Arabidopsis thaliana: one gene and its partner. The protein of the gene in region 1 interacts with the protein of each later gene in a pairwise test. Each region holds a gene or a part of one and is shown on either strand. Other genes may lie near its edges.

Region 1 (8,773 bases):
CTGTTAAATATGTTATATTATTAGTAAATATTTCCTTAAATCTATCACTACAATTGTGTCATCACTCATAACTAGTTAATATATAATGATGGAAAACTAGGGAGTTTCGGCCAATTCATATTCAAATAAAACTACTAAGTCGTAATCATACATAAAATAAAGTATTGTGTGAATAGATACTTCAACTATCATGATTGGAGAAAATTCAAAAATAAAGAAGTAGAGGCAGAAAATGATATAAAAAGTTATCATAGATAGGGTGTAACGGCATCACGAGTATTCATATTTTGGTAAAGAGTTTTTTCTTCATTTCACATGCTTGAATTGTATTTTTTTTTTGGTGAGTGATAGGAGGCAATTGGCCCCTATGTTTTATTCAAATAAATGTAAAGAAATTACAATCGGACAATCATGGGTATCGTGTACCCATTGGTATCTTCCAACAAAACCGGCTTAACAATATCCGGGCAAAGATCAAACGAATGAAAACCAAGCGGTAAAGAAAACGCATAGTTCGCTAAAACATGCTTGAATTGTATTAAAACAGTCAATAATGTAGATTTTTTTTGAGAGATTAAGGAATAAGATACTACTATGTGATTGTTGCACAAAAAAAGATACTATGTGATTTGGAAATTTAAAATGTAACTTATATGAAAAATCAGGAATAGAAGGACAAAATTGATAATGTCAACAAGAAGGAAGGAAGAGAAAAGGAGGGAGGACCAAGTTGTATACTTCTATCTTAAAATATATTTGTTTTGCGAACAGAAAATAATATGAATAATCACTCTTGTAAAAATTATATTGGTTGCATAGATGCGACATATTTGTTTAATAAACGTTTCAGTGTATATATGCAAGAAGATTACAAAAAAAAAATCTATTGTCCAATGCATACAGTAAGTTTTATTGCATTCAAGTAACGAACAAATAAAATCATATTCAAATATACGTCATTGTATAACAAAAAGTATAAAACACACTTGAACATATCGATAATTGTAGTAATGCATTTATACATTTTAAAACAGCATCATCATCTAATTTTAAATATTTTTCTTCATATATTAGTTTATTTTCCAGTAACGTTTTCATAACCATAGATAATATGAGCATTTACCATCTGGCTAAAATTTTCACGGTAAATGTAGCTGTCGAGTAGCCTATTCACCAAGTTTTCTGAAAGATCTAAAACATGGTACTCACTTGCCAAATAAAAGGATAAGACTATTTCGTTTATACTATCAATTTCTTTTATAGTAATATTTCTGATTCATTAAGCAACCATCGACCAGTTCTAGCCCTCAACAGTAGTTCATCTACTACGAAGACATCAATGAGTTAACTACCATCTTAATCAAATGTTTACATCCGTGAAAATACCCCAACGCATATGACCACCCGTCATCCCATATAAATTTGTCTATATTATCTCGTTAGCTAAATTATTAGTGTTATAAAATCCAAGAAAAAAAATTATTATTATTATAAATCCAATAATTTTAGGATCTCACCCGTAATATACCGTCCCTTGAATGATTTTAAATTTATACTACTAATATAGATTTTAAATTTATCATATAAAGTATATGATTTCAAGTTTTTGTGTTTTTTTATTTAAATAAAGCAACGGCTTAAATGATGATAGATTTAGTTCTTTTTCTTGTATGTGTATATGACTTTTGTGTGAATATTTTAATTATTATAAATTAGTATTTTTATTGCTATAGAAAATGTTAATATACATATTTGCTATAAATCGGATTTATGCATATTTTGTGGAATAAAATTCACAGATTTTGTTTTTGAATATATATGGAAAGATTGTAATTTTCTTGTAAATACATGTGGCTTTTCTTGTAAATAAGTCCAAACTACAGAATTTATTTCACAAAATAACTGTAAAAATATATATATGTAAATATCATTATATATGTATACACTGTTATTTTGCGAGTTTTATTTTGCAAATTTGTATTATTCAACTATATTATTAAACGCAATGTTACCAATCAAACCCTAAATAATATCTTTGGTGCACACAACTCCAAAAAGACATAACTTGTTATGAGATTTATTATCATTAAAAGAACCCGTTTAGCAATTCATACAAGGTTCATATGTGATCCCAATTTACAAACACAAACGTCACACGAGCTAGTAACAAGATCCGACCCCGACAAATCGAGTCGGACTGTACCCGAGTGTTAGGTCCAAGTTTAGCTCCTTGTCCAGATGATCATATCTGTAATCACAATCAACACTTAACCGTAAATCCTCGTCCGTAGTCGTACCGCTCGTAGAAGCACAGTTTTCACAAGAAGTCTCCATCTTTAGTTTAACAGAACCGGGAAACGTGGACTTCAAATCTTCATTTCGGGGATGAAACGATGTCGTTTTAGGCTCGATGATCGAACCGTGAGTTTTTGGGTCAATACCACGGTTAAGAAGCTTCCTTTTTATATGAGTGTTCCAATAATTTTTAATCTCATTATCGGTTCTTCCCGGTAATTTCCCAGCAATCAAAGACCATCTGAAAAAAAGACATTCGAAATGTAAGGAACATTGGTTTAAAACTTGGTCATTTGGGTATATTAAACCGGTTATTTATTTGGTTTTGTCAAATTGGATCTGCTTGTATTTTTATTATTTTTTTCTCATAAGTGTTGCACTTTATTTAAAACCTTATGTTGTAAAGATACAACTGTGGAACCTTCCACTTACAAATCTTGACACATATTAAACCTTACAACATTGGATCAACTAAAATATAGTCATCCATATTACATAAAAAACCAACAAGTCTAACTTATAAGCAGAGGCCCATAAAGAAAGCCCAAACCAGGAAACAAAACCTTTAGAGGAAGTAAATTAAAGATTCCCTTCCACCACAAAGCCACGTGTGATGTTAACAAACAAAGTTGAAACACGTTGACTGAAGAAGCCTTAGTTGTCGCCATTCACCACCGTTCTGGTTAGCAACTCAGGGAACTCTAAAACCACCGGAAACCGCCGGAGCTTCAAGAGAAGTCCATTGATTTTTAATTAGAGAATCCACCAAACTTCATTAGCAAATTTGGAAAGGAAAGATCTCCCAAAGGCAATTGATTCCTGAAATCTAAAGAACATCGACGTAGAGTAAGCCGATGGAGCTTTCAGCAACACCTTAAAAAAGAACAAAAAAGCACTCGTCTCCATAGATCAGTTAGAGAAACAGCCACAATTGCAATAGTTTCAACCCATAAGCATAAAAAACCTTAATCCGCATCTTAATTTGTTCTCAAAAAATGAAATCGATAAGCGTGGAAAACAAATTAATCCCTTTAAACAAAGGAGGTTCAAGGAATTATATGCCAGATCTAACAATGAAACGCAAAAGAGCTCAATCAAACTGAATATAAAGAAATCGAGAGAAGAAAACATAAATCTAAACCGGAATCAATCCGGCCAAAAGGTAGACGAAACACCGAAGATAGGCGGTGAAACTCTAGACCTTAGCTAGCCTACCGCCGCTAAAGAAGCCAATGGAAGCCAAACGCAAACCGACCATCGTCGTAAAGAACCGAACAGTGTCAGAAGAACCACGACAATCAAACGTTGCCCTAAACATCGCCGGACAAAAGCCAGACATCCATGCTGGAAAAGCCATAAGATTCTGGACAGAGAACTGGCCAACAAACACTAAAGAAGCTATTGTTGCCGGAAAAAGAAGATCAGATGCTTTCTCTCTCTAAAAGATGCAAATGAGAGAAGAGAGAGAGAAGCCTACAAAACCTTCTTTTCCATTCAAAACGCATAGAATGCTATCTTCTCAATACTGGATCTGCTTGTATATAAACCAAATTGTACATTTATTCATTTTTATAAACTGAAGAGAAAACCATTTGATTAGTTTTCTCCAGTGTTTTCAAACCGGTTGAACCAGTTTGACTGTGAATCGAATAGCTATCCGATTTGAGTTATCACCAAAAACCGGTATTAAAAAGACTCACAACACCCGGTTTAAAATCTGATTAAACCAGTGAACCGGTTCGGACTAATGACCAAAACCCGATTCTTCATTTTTTTTAGTCTTTCACGGTTTAACCATTGGTTTTACTTTTTTACAGTAAAACTGGTTTGTTCATAAATCATAATTAAGAGAAAGGAAATTACTTGTTGCCAAATAAACTATGAAGTTTGACAATGATTTGCTCTTCACCATCAGTGAAATTTCCACGTTTAAGATCAGGACGAAGGTAATTAATCCATCTTAATCTACAACTTTTTCCACAACGCAACAACCCTAAAGAAAAGATAAAATCATCAGATCAAGAAACATAAAAATTTGAAAGAAAAAAAATCAAAACTTTGGAGAAATTTACCAACGGATTTAGGAAGAGAACGCCAAGAGCCTTCACCATGATTACGTATATAATCAATAAGACGTTGATCTTCTTCTTTAGTCCATGCTCCTTTGTTCATGTGAGCCTTTTCACAACATGGTGATCTTCCCATGATGATGGTTACATGTGTGGGTGATGAGACAAGAAGAGTGAGACTAGGATCTAAAGAGAGGTGTTATAAAAAGGAAGTGACTTTGACCAAGTTGGTGTATGTATCTTGTATTTTGTGGGTGAAAAAGATTTGGTAGGTTACCTTCTTTTTCTTTCTTTCCTTAGAGCATGTCCATTAAGGAGTCCTAATAATGGAATCCTTACATTTTTATACTAATAAATTTTGAATTTTTTTGAAATTAAAGTTCTTGTTGAATCCTAAACTTTTTTCTAGTCCATTAGTGAATCCTTAAGTGGGTTTCTTAAAAAAATAAATATGATAAATATTTACTTGACAAAATATGCTAATTTATTTATTTGACAAAGGGTTAAAGCTAATTCGAAGAAAAAAAAGAGCTTGGAAATGTAAAAACTATTCCAATAGTATTATATAACCTCATCATCTTCCTTCGTGAGTTTCCCTGCCAATTGAGAATATAGATGTTGCACTCTTGCAAGCTTCCTCACAGTTTTTGGGGCTTAACAACCACCCTGTCACATATACCCTGCAAAGCAGAAACTGCAGAACATCAAGATTGAACTTACGTTTAACTTTTCTCTTGTATTCTCTCGTACAATAGAGAACTGACTGCAACAGTTTAGCAAATCACATCAGTATGCATATCAGGAAATTTCAATGAAATGGATTCTATAATTGTTCAAAGCACTTTCAAGTAAAAATTGACCTGGTTAGTAAGTCACGCTCTATCTCCATATCACGACCCCTTGAAGCAGCTCTAGGCCTAGTTGCAGCCAAAGCTTCACTACAGACACCTAATCGATTCCTTTGAAAAAGTCTCTCAGGCTGTTTGCAAACATATTTATTAGAAACAAAAAACGAAGGTGCACATATCTTTATCAACATCACTTGTTATCACACAAAAATTTAGTGATATCTAAATTGAAACATTGGTTTAATCTAAAAATTAACTACTAAATAATATCCAGACACAAAACACACCTATAACTGTGCTAGCCAAGCAATGGGATCAATGTCGGTATCAGTAAATTATCCTGCTGTTACGAGCAAGCACAACCTAATTCCACGAGCCCGAAACATCAGTTAAACGAAACTTATAAAACTGTTTTAAGAATCGATACGAACACAATCTCTAAACTATCTTATTAAGAGACGACGCGTGATGATGATAATCACCAATCGTACGATCGGCCTCCGGAGTTTACAAGAGAAGAGAAAGAAAATTAATCGTGAAATGAAAAAATAAACAAGGCCAAAAGCGAGAAAAAAAATTGTTTTGTCAAACACAGAGCCAATAATATATGGCCACGTATGCGCCCCTTGAGATCAGAATAAACTCTAAAATTAGGTGCGAACCTAAGAGCATCTCCACTGGTGAGATACTACATCAATACCTCATAATATATTATTAATATTTTTATATTTAATTTAAGTAGAGAAACTTATACTAAAATTGTGCTTCCATTGGTGAGATACTCTTATAGGTATCTTATTAATATTAAAATATTATTATATTTTTCATATATTAAATTTAATATCTCTACAATATTTTTAAATATATCAATTATTATTTTTACAAATTATATTATTAAGTAGTTTTATTATTTTTAAAACCATAATTAAACATTACTTTACATATAAAACCATAATAAAAATTAAGTCTTTCACTTGGTAATGGATTACCACTTATGTAAGATAAGTAGAAATTAAAAGATTTATTGATGATTAAATTTTAAATACATATATCTGAAATCACAATTTTACATTAATCTGAAAATATTGCAAAATAAAAATAGAAAATTTTAAATGTTTGTTTTGTAATTAAAAAACTATTGTATTTATAACTAACACCAATTAAATAATATTAGTACATAATTTAAACATATACATAATAGAGCTTGTTATATAGATAATTTAATTTTATGAATTTTAAAAGTAAAAAAAATAAAAAAAAATAACAGACATATAAAGTATTTAATTGATGTTATAAAGTATAGATGATTGTATTTATAACAAAGAAAAGAAATTAATAACAAGGTGACATGTGGAAGAGAGAGAAAGTTTCTCTAAGTTTCTCATTTCATAAACGATCCTGAACAAAATTGATTAAAAAATTATTATTTTAATGTTTTTGATTTATTTTTATTTAGAATTTCTCAGTGAGAAACCACCAATGAAGATGGTCTAAGCTTTAATCACAATTTTTATTTATTTTTTGTTAAAATTATTTGAGGATTTCCCTTAAGAAACTGTTAAGGCCCTTCCAATGAACATGGTCTTAGATTTTATACTACTAAGAGAAAGGGTTTGGTGGGGATATTATTTTGATGGATTTGTTTTTTTGTTACAACTTACAAGTGATATGAATGAGTTATTTTATTACTAGTTATTTTTGGGTTGTTTTAATCTTCTAGAAGGAAAATGAGTGGTGGAGAAACACTGAAACAAGATCCAAATTGTATCCTACCTGCCTTTTTGGCACTATCTTTCTTTTTGTTTTCCTTTTCGAGAAGATTTTTTTCTTCGAGAAAAGAAAAATATTTTTTTTGTTCTTTCTTTGTTTAATTTAATTACACTCTCCATATACTTTCGCAATACTTTTACTTTACTATGAAACACAGCTACTATAAAACAGATTAAGGGTTTAAAAGTGGTAAGAACACTTGTCCATTTTTACAAAACAAAAACAAAGATGTAATTTGCTAAAAAGAATACTCAAAACAAATTCTTGCTAAAACAGTTGTATTTTGGGGTATGTGCAAATACAACTATACAGTCAAAACACCAAAATAAGACTAAAATCCTAAAGTTTCCCATACCCTATGAAAATTTCTTTAATAATTCTGACTGTAAGAATTTTCTAATAAGAATATGTAAACATATATATTATTTGCATCTTATATGAAGTAACTGAGTTCTGAAAAAAAAAAAAAAACTACAGATTAGAATGAAACAATTGTCCAATAGCCATTGCATAGATTATCAAAAGAGACCAAAATGTGCATAGTAGTATAGTACAATGGGACAGAAGGGAGAATGGTCACTAATGTTGAAAGAATGTTATGTACACACAAAAATTCGTATCAATAAAAAAATACTAATCTTAGATTCCCCCAACTTTTGAAGGGGAAAAATGCTTATACAGGACTCATGATACAACATATATATAGATAAGTTACATGTATGGTTGAAGTCATAAACAATAATTAACACTGAACAGCAGGAATCCGGTTTAAGCTGGATCGGTTTCAGGTTCCGGATCGGGTTCTTTACACATGCAGTCGGGCATGGGGAACGTGTAGAGTGATGCAGCGGGTTTCCTTAATTCGACTCCCTTTGCATCATTGTGTCTAAGCATATCTTGCATTTGTTTCTTGAAGTAGTCCCATCTACAAAAAAAAAAAACGTCCAAACCGAAGAAAATGCTTTAGAGGCAGAGGAATCTAAGAGCTTGATGTCAAGAGTTATAAAGAAATCAAGTACCTAATGCTCGGTTTATCTAAGAGCTGGACTAGTTTCCGCTTATCGGGTTTGATTGTCTCAGCGTGGCCTTTGTAAAGGTAGCGACGGTGACCTATCAAGAAATGTGGGAAGTTTCCACCTTGAGTGGATACAAACACTTCACTGTGGAGGCATACTGTGTAATCAAGTGCTGCCAATCTTGATGAGTGTCCCTACAGTTTCACAAATACAGCAATTTGTTTAGTGAACTAGAATATTATATAATGGTCAAAATCTTTCTATTCCAAGGGCATGTTATGGGAGAGCCCACGGGTTTTATGGGCAAATTGCTTTAAGAACCTAACACGCTCCCAACCTAATAATAGAATCATTCTGATTCCTACCAACCAGTGGACATAAATTTCTCTTTCCTATAAACAGGGCTTCTAAAAAGACAGAACTTTAAAAGCTATCATAAAAACATTTCAACATTCTCACCCAACTCTTGCTATCAATGTTCCCTCATCATTATTTGTTTCCCTCGTTTGAAATGTGTGAGACACTTTTCTATGACTAAAAATGAACCAACCAAACTCTATTCTATTTCTCACAAAAACTATTCATAGAGCGAGGAAAATGAAACAATTCCATGAAACAACCAAACGCTATCCTATCAATAAAAATGAAACAGCCAAACTCTTTTCTATTTCTCACAAAACAATTTATGAACAGTGTTGGGACATTAACACTTAAGTCCAAATGAGTAAAGAAATTAAAGTTTTGTTACCTTAAACGGAGCAAGCTCCTCTGGAGT
Region 2 (6,318 bases), 5.7 Mb from region 1:
AATCTTCGTTAAAAAATATATAACATTTGGGTGATGATTAAAAAAGTAGACTGTAGTGGACCCGCCACACCTAATCGTACCCAATGATAATCCGGTAAGGTTCGGTTCCATTTGTCCGCATTCCCAAACTTAGAAAATGAAACGGAAAGAAAAACATAATGTGTTTTAGTTTTTATCTTAAAAAACTATAGACAAAAACTCAAAACATTTTTCGGATTGTATACCAATAAATAGAGAGAATGTAGTTTTAACCTCGCAAGTCTCAACTGATGATCCGACTCGTCCAAAGCATGTTTATAGATTTAACTAGTTTAGCTACCATTCAAATTTGATTTTTAGGTTACCGTCCATTTTTATAGGACCAATTCTATAAGAAGTGGTTTAGATATCGGGTAGATTTTCATTTTCCGACTTCATGCATGATTTAGTTCTTAAAACTTGCATGTTTGGCTTCTACTAAGACAACCCTCGTTTTTCTGACGACTCACGTGGTCAAACGGTGCACAAAGGTCACGTGAGGCACGTGCGTTCTACTGTTTAAACGCCTCTTCTCTTTTGCTTCTTTTTTGCCAATTTGAAAGAGATAAGAATACAAATTAAAAAGATGTTTCTTCCACTTTCCTCATCGCCGTTCTATGCTCACTTTCTTTGGTCGGATTTCCAATTACATTGTTAACTATTAGTGGTCACATAATTTTTTCATGACGTGGATCACACTTCTCTTTTTACATGTCTATCTCCTTAATTAGTATCTTTAATTGCTTTCGACATCAAAAGCTAATATCTATGTTTTACACTCTATTAGTTGTTTAATATTCACAATATTCAATATCAAATCTCACCGTATTTGGAAAATGTTTATTAGTTCAGTACATGACACACTCGTAATCAACATTTTGAATTTTTTAAAATGTTTTATTTGTTCAGTACATGACACACTCGTACATTTCGAATTGCTTACTTTTTTTGCTTTAACAACGTCCAAGTACAAAGGAGATTCTCTAAGACTACAGGATTTGACTTTTTACCAGAGAATCTATCAGGTTAAAAACGATACACACACACACACACAAATTTACAAAAACAACTCTAGTCTCTCTACTTCTAAAAGTTTAATAATTTGTTTTTAACTTTGAACTACAAACGAACTCCATTTATTGTTTCTTGGATCACGTTAAGTAACGTGGCAGCTGAACGTTGACCTATGACTCAAAGTGAGTCCCACTCTAACTATCATCTTGACGGCTCAGAGTTCTCCACGAGTGTGAAGTGTCAATCGGAGGAGGGGGTAAAACCGTAAAAGCTTCCGACACGTCCCACGAAAAAGGATAATACGAGAAGGCTCTTCTCATCATCCAACGGCTCACGATTTAACAAGACTAGTCTCGCTTCTGTCTCTTCTCATACCCGTCGATCTGTCTTGGCTTTTCAGCTATCGCCACCTCTTCTCTCTTTTTTGCTTATCTCTTCAATTTTCGGATTTAAATTTTACGAAAAACAAAGAATTAGGATAATACTATTTGTCTCTCTAATTCTGACCATAATTAATTTTTATTTTCATATTTGACTTTTACAAATTCAAGTGTGGGAGTTCCTTTATTCTTGTTGTATCACTCTCAATGCTTAACTAGATTTGACATCCACATATGTGTTTGTCCGCTTATTATACATATGATGATATGAAAATATATCAATCATTATATCATTCGTAAGCTGAAAAATTAGTATGCTATTTTTTTCTATGTCGAAACGTAATTATTTATGACCATATTTGAACAATAATATCGCATTTTCACCTTTTATTTTTAACCTTTTAAGACTTTCCTTTTAGGTCTTCTAGATGCACACTGGACAGACACGCATATTCAAGATACGTGTGTTTTTGGAGGACTTCAAAAAAAAAAAACGAGATAATGATTTTCCCAAATTACATAAAGAAGAAAACAAATTGATTTTCCCAAATAAAGGAGTCAGAAAAATATAATTTAGGAACAAACAAAAAAGATACCTTTAATAATAAACAAAAATAACTCTAAAAATATTTTAAAATGAAATTCGTATGAAATATAAACCGCATAAACTTATCGTGACCGCCTTCAAATAAAAATAAAACCCTTTATTTTCTCTCTTTCAGCCGCCGCTTTCACTTACCTCTTCCTCTTCCTTCTTCTTCTTCTACCTTCTTCTCGTAAAGGTTTTGCTACACACTGGAGCTCGCAAATCTGGCTATCGAAAACCACAATCACAAACTCAACTTCGGGGCCTTCAAGGCCAATCACAAGAAAGTCATGGTGAGTCTTATTTTTAATTCTTTTTGTTTGTTTTTACCTTGCTATCAATCTTCTCCAGATTCTGATTTGGTTTCGTTTTGTTCAGGGACCAATGATAAGAACAGAGGAAGAAGAAGACTATACAAGTCCACCGTGGCTAATGCCAATGCTACGAGGGAGTTACTTCGTCCCTTGTTCCATCCATGTCGATTCAAACAAAAACGAATGCAATTTGTTCTGTCTTGATTGTGCTGGAAATGCCTTTTGCTCTTACTGTTTAGTCAAACATAAAGACCATCGTGTTGTTCAGGTTCAATATCTCTTCTTCTTCTTTTTCTCCTCCTCAATCTCTCGGTTTTTTAATTGTAATGTTAATGAAAAGAATCAAAATTTGCAGATACGAAGATCTTCGTACCATAACGTTGTGAGAGTGAATGAGATACAGAAGTTCATAGACATCGCTTGTGTTCAGACATATATTATCAACAGCGCAAAGATCGTGTTCCTCAATGAAAGACCTCAGCCTAGAATCGGTAAAGGTGTTACAAACACTTGTGAAATCTGTTGCAGAAGTCTCCTTGATTCTTTCAGGTTCTGCTCTCTCGGCTGCAAGGTATAACACAAAAAGACTCTCCCTCTGTTTTTTCCCCTGTTTTCACCATTTTTGTTTGAAACAATTCATATGGTTTTAACAAAAATGTAAACTTTCTTAAAACCCATTAACGCATTTCACTTCTTAATGATATCTATATCAAATTTTATCCGGTTTTGTTTAGTTTTGTTCGTGATTCATGTGGATATGCTCTGTTTTTGTAATGTTATTTGTGGAAATAACGATATTGTCCTTTGGTTGTTTTTTGTTCTGTTTAGCTTGGAGGAATGAGGAGAGGAGATTTATCTCTAACCTTCTCTTTGAAAGGAAAGCATGGGAGAGAGTACCTTGGTGGGTCGGAATCAGATGAAGCTACTACACCGACTAAGATGCGTAAGACCAATGCTTTCAACCGTCTGATGAGTGGTCTCTCGATCTCAACCGTTAGATTCGATGACTACGGTCCCAATGGTGATCAAAGGTCTTCAAGCTCTGGTGATGAAGGTGGTTTTAGTTTCTCTCCGGGAACACCTCCGATCTATAATCACCGGAATTCAAGCAGACGAAAGGGTGTCCCTCACCGTGCTCCGTTCTAAGAAAAGATAATTACTAAATTTCCAACCCCATAGTAATTAATTATATATATATATATATAGATAATGGTATAATACAATGTATAACTTGGGGTGAAATTTAGGATGTAGTCATAATGTTGTAAATGTGTATTATTTCTTTTTATAGTTTTTCTAAAAGATAAAGGTGAAATAATTAGAACACATACATAAATACATTTTTTATAAGTATAGAAGAATTAGGTTTTATAGTGGAAGTGTTTGATGTTTAGTTTGTTTAAAAGGCATGGCTTTGTCTTGTGTTGTAATGTAATGTGTACATTAAATTTTTGTTCATACAATAATAATATCAAGGTGAATGATATATTATAAAGTTTATGCGTTGTCTAATGACTAGTGACTACTATATTTAGTCTATATCACCATTTTGTGACATTCATCTAAAACAAATGTTAGTGTAGTCTAATCCTTTCATGAACTGTTTTATATGGTAATGTGTAACTGAAGTCATGTCGTCATGGTTACATGGTTTGTATAAAAGTCGTAAGAGTGACACTGAGACATATTTTTCAATACTATTGATTGATTTGTTGTAGTTTGACGTAATCAAGAAGAATATTATAATAGTATACGCTAAAGAATATTATTATGCGGTTTAAAAAGTGAGCAAGTGGATAGAGGAAAATAAGAGCCGTGTGGAATCCGAAAGGCTGCGATTCTCTCTCACCGTTAAGAGACGGGTGTTCATTCCTTTTTCTGATCGCTCAAAATTATTCAACATCATATTTTAAACTCTCTACTAATCCACGGAATCGAATAATTGGCAAACTGTTATTGCTTATAAAATTTCATTAGTTATAATAATGTTTTAATTATGCCATTTCGTAAACACAAAAATCGTTTTCTGTAGCTTTTTAGGTATCCCACAAATTTACGTTTTCTTCTTTTCACTAGGTTTTCACACTTAAAGCATCACAACTTTTTACTTTTACCAAAAAAGTTCCGAGCTTGGTTCATAATTTCTCGGAGTCGAAAACTAGAATTTCAAATTATCTTGTTTAGGATCACTACAAATTTTATTTTACGAAAATGTTAACATCAAAAATAATTTATATAAGGCGGTAATCACATATTTTCAGTATATATAGTTTTTTCACTGTAGTTTGGTTTTCTAGAATAAGTAGTTACACAAAGAATTTATGATAAACGACTGTGAATGTGTGCTTGTCCTAAGTTAGTAGTTACCGAAAAAAATAGAAACAATATCTCAAAATAATATCGGAGTCTCACTTGTAAGTTGTGAAGGCCACCACAACATATATTTGTTGCATTTCTGTCTAAATCTTTGAACAGAAATGAAGTAAAGGAAACAAGAAATCGCATTATTTCTAATCTTATACTTTTGGATAAAACCTTTGCTATTTTAGTCCTTGCCAACAACAATACATGTATACAAGAGAGAGTATTGCGACCAAGGACCGTGGCTCTGCCACGTAATCTTAGACCGGCCCCTACCGGCTTAGGCAGCGACCGAATGGGGGCATTATAGACTTTTCAATAGGTCGGACTTTTCAGCTAGTTGTGCATCCTCGTCACTCCGACTACGACACGTGTCGAAGAAACCCATTAAGTGTACGACACGTGTGTTGAGAGAGTGTGAGGGGACCACGTGAGACCTTGTGTGGAGTTATCTTGTTCAGTCTCCCAAGACGTTAAGTAATCAATATAATATTAATGGGAACGCTAGCGACACGACGGGATAAGGATTTTGGTGATGTATTTAACTATTTCTATAGTTTTGTTGTCGCTATCGAAATCGTGATATTTTGTTTATTTCTGTAACTTTACTTAATGTGGAATATAGTACTTGTTCTTAATGATCACATAGAGTTACGAAAATGGTGTTAGCAAAACATTAAAATCTAGGATTTCTGACAATTAAGAAAAGATAATAAAATTTGGACTAGCTTGCAGTTTCACGTACGGACACATTATTACACATTAGGAGATTGTTTTGTTTCCTACAGTTTCATGCGTTTACTATAAAATAGTATTTTTATGATATAAATCTCCTCTTGACTATCAGATTATGTCGGAACCGAACCAGTACCCTTCTGTCTTTTTCTGCTCCTAAACCCTCTATTATCTACGAATTGCGATGAAAGCCGAAATTTCCACAGTACATTTAAATATTATATTCAATTGTGCCAAAGTAAATGTATGGTTCAAATTTGATTCAATAAGATACTAATTAGATGCAAGAAAGGAGACTAATCAACAATGCACAACGTAAAAGTAAATAATTAGAACGGATAAGTAATATTAATTAAGGCACTAATATTAAGGCTCTCAGCTCTGGTTCGTGGAATCAATAATTACGTATTGCTCTACATTAGACGTTGTTGCTAACATTCTTGTATTTTCTGTTACTTTCTTACATTTGAAATACAAAAATGTACTGTAACAGATATTATATTTCGTTATAAAAATCAGGCTTCTTCATTCATACATTGGTAGACTACAAAAGGTAGGCAAAGATAGTTTTCAGCATGGGGACAGGCAATATAAACGAAACCCTGAGGTCTATTTTTGGTTGTATCAATCCTCCTATATTGTTTGTTTCCGCTGGGTCCATATTTGCTAAGGCTATTTATGGTCCGTGGTTTTCTATCTTCCAAGAAACTAATTCTTTGAATCACGACGAAACTTAATATACGTCATAGACTCGTAGGATATTTATAGCTTTATTTTGAAAGTAACGTTATATACGTACCTAATGTGTGTATATATATAAATTAGTTTGGAGTACAGTGAATGATTTGTACTTTGGTGTGGTTCTTCAACAAACGTCGTCTGTTGTGAACCGAGGATTTGCAACTATCGG

The links. The genes of interacting proteins can lie anywhere in the genome.
Region 2: the proteins of HOS10 (region 1) and AT1G21000 interact in a two-hybrid assay, tested with the Arabidopsis thaliana proteins (one large-scale study listed by BioGRID).

What each region holds. Positions count from the first base shown.
Region 1 is NC_003070.9:13,073,653-13,082,425, reverse strand, and holds HOS10 (high response to osmotic stress 10), read right to left. Parts: upstream 4,537-8,773; 5' UTR 4,501-4,536; coding exon 4,368-4,500; intron 4,289-4,367; coding exon 4,159-4,288; intron 4,011-4,158; exon of another isoform or gene 3,653-4,010; coding exon of another isoform or gene 3,497-3,652; intron 3,122-3,496; coding exon of another isoform or gene 3,045-3,121; exon of another isoform or gene 2,653-3,044; intron 2,537-2,652; coding exon 2,161-2,536; downstream 1-2,160. Other genes in the region: AT1G35516 (myb-like transcription factor family protein), read right to left, coding at 3,045-3,121, 3,511-3,652; AT1G35510 (O-fucosyltransferase family protein), read right to left, coding at 7,751-7,907, 8,002-8,192, 8,747-8,773. UniProt on the Arabidopsis thaliana protein: Transcription activator.
Region 2 is NC_003070.9:7,335,631-7,341,948, forward strand, and holds AT1G21000 (PLATZ transcription factor family protein), read left to right. Parts: upstream 1-1,974; 5' UTR 1,975-2,288; coding exon 2,289-2,291; exon of another isoform or gene 2,292-2,295; intron 2,296-2,376; coding exon 2,377-2,580; intron 2,581-2,667; coding exon 2,668-2,883; intron 2,884-3,140; coding exon 3,141-3,458; 3' UTR 3,459-3,822; downstream 3,823-6,318.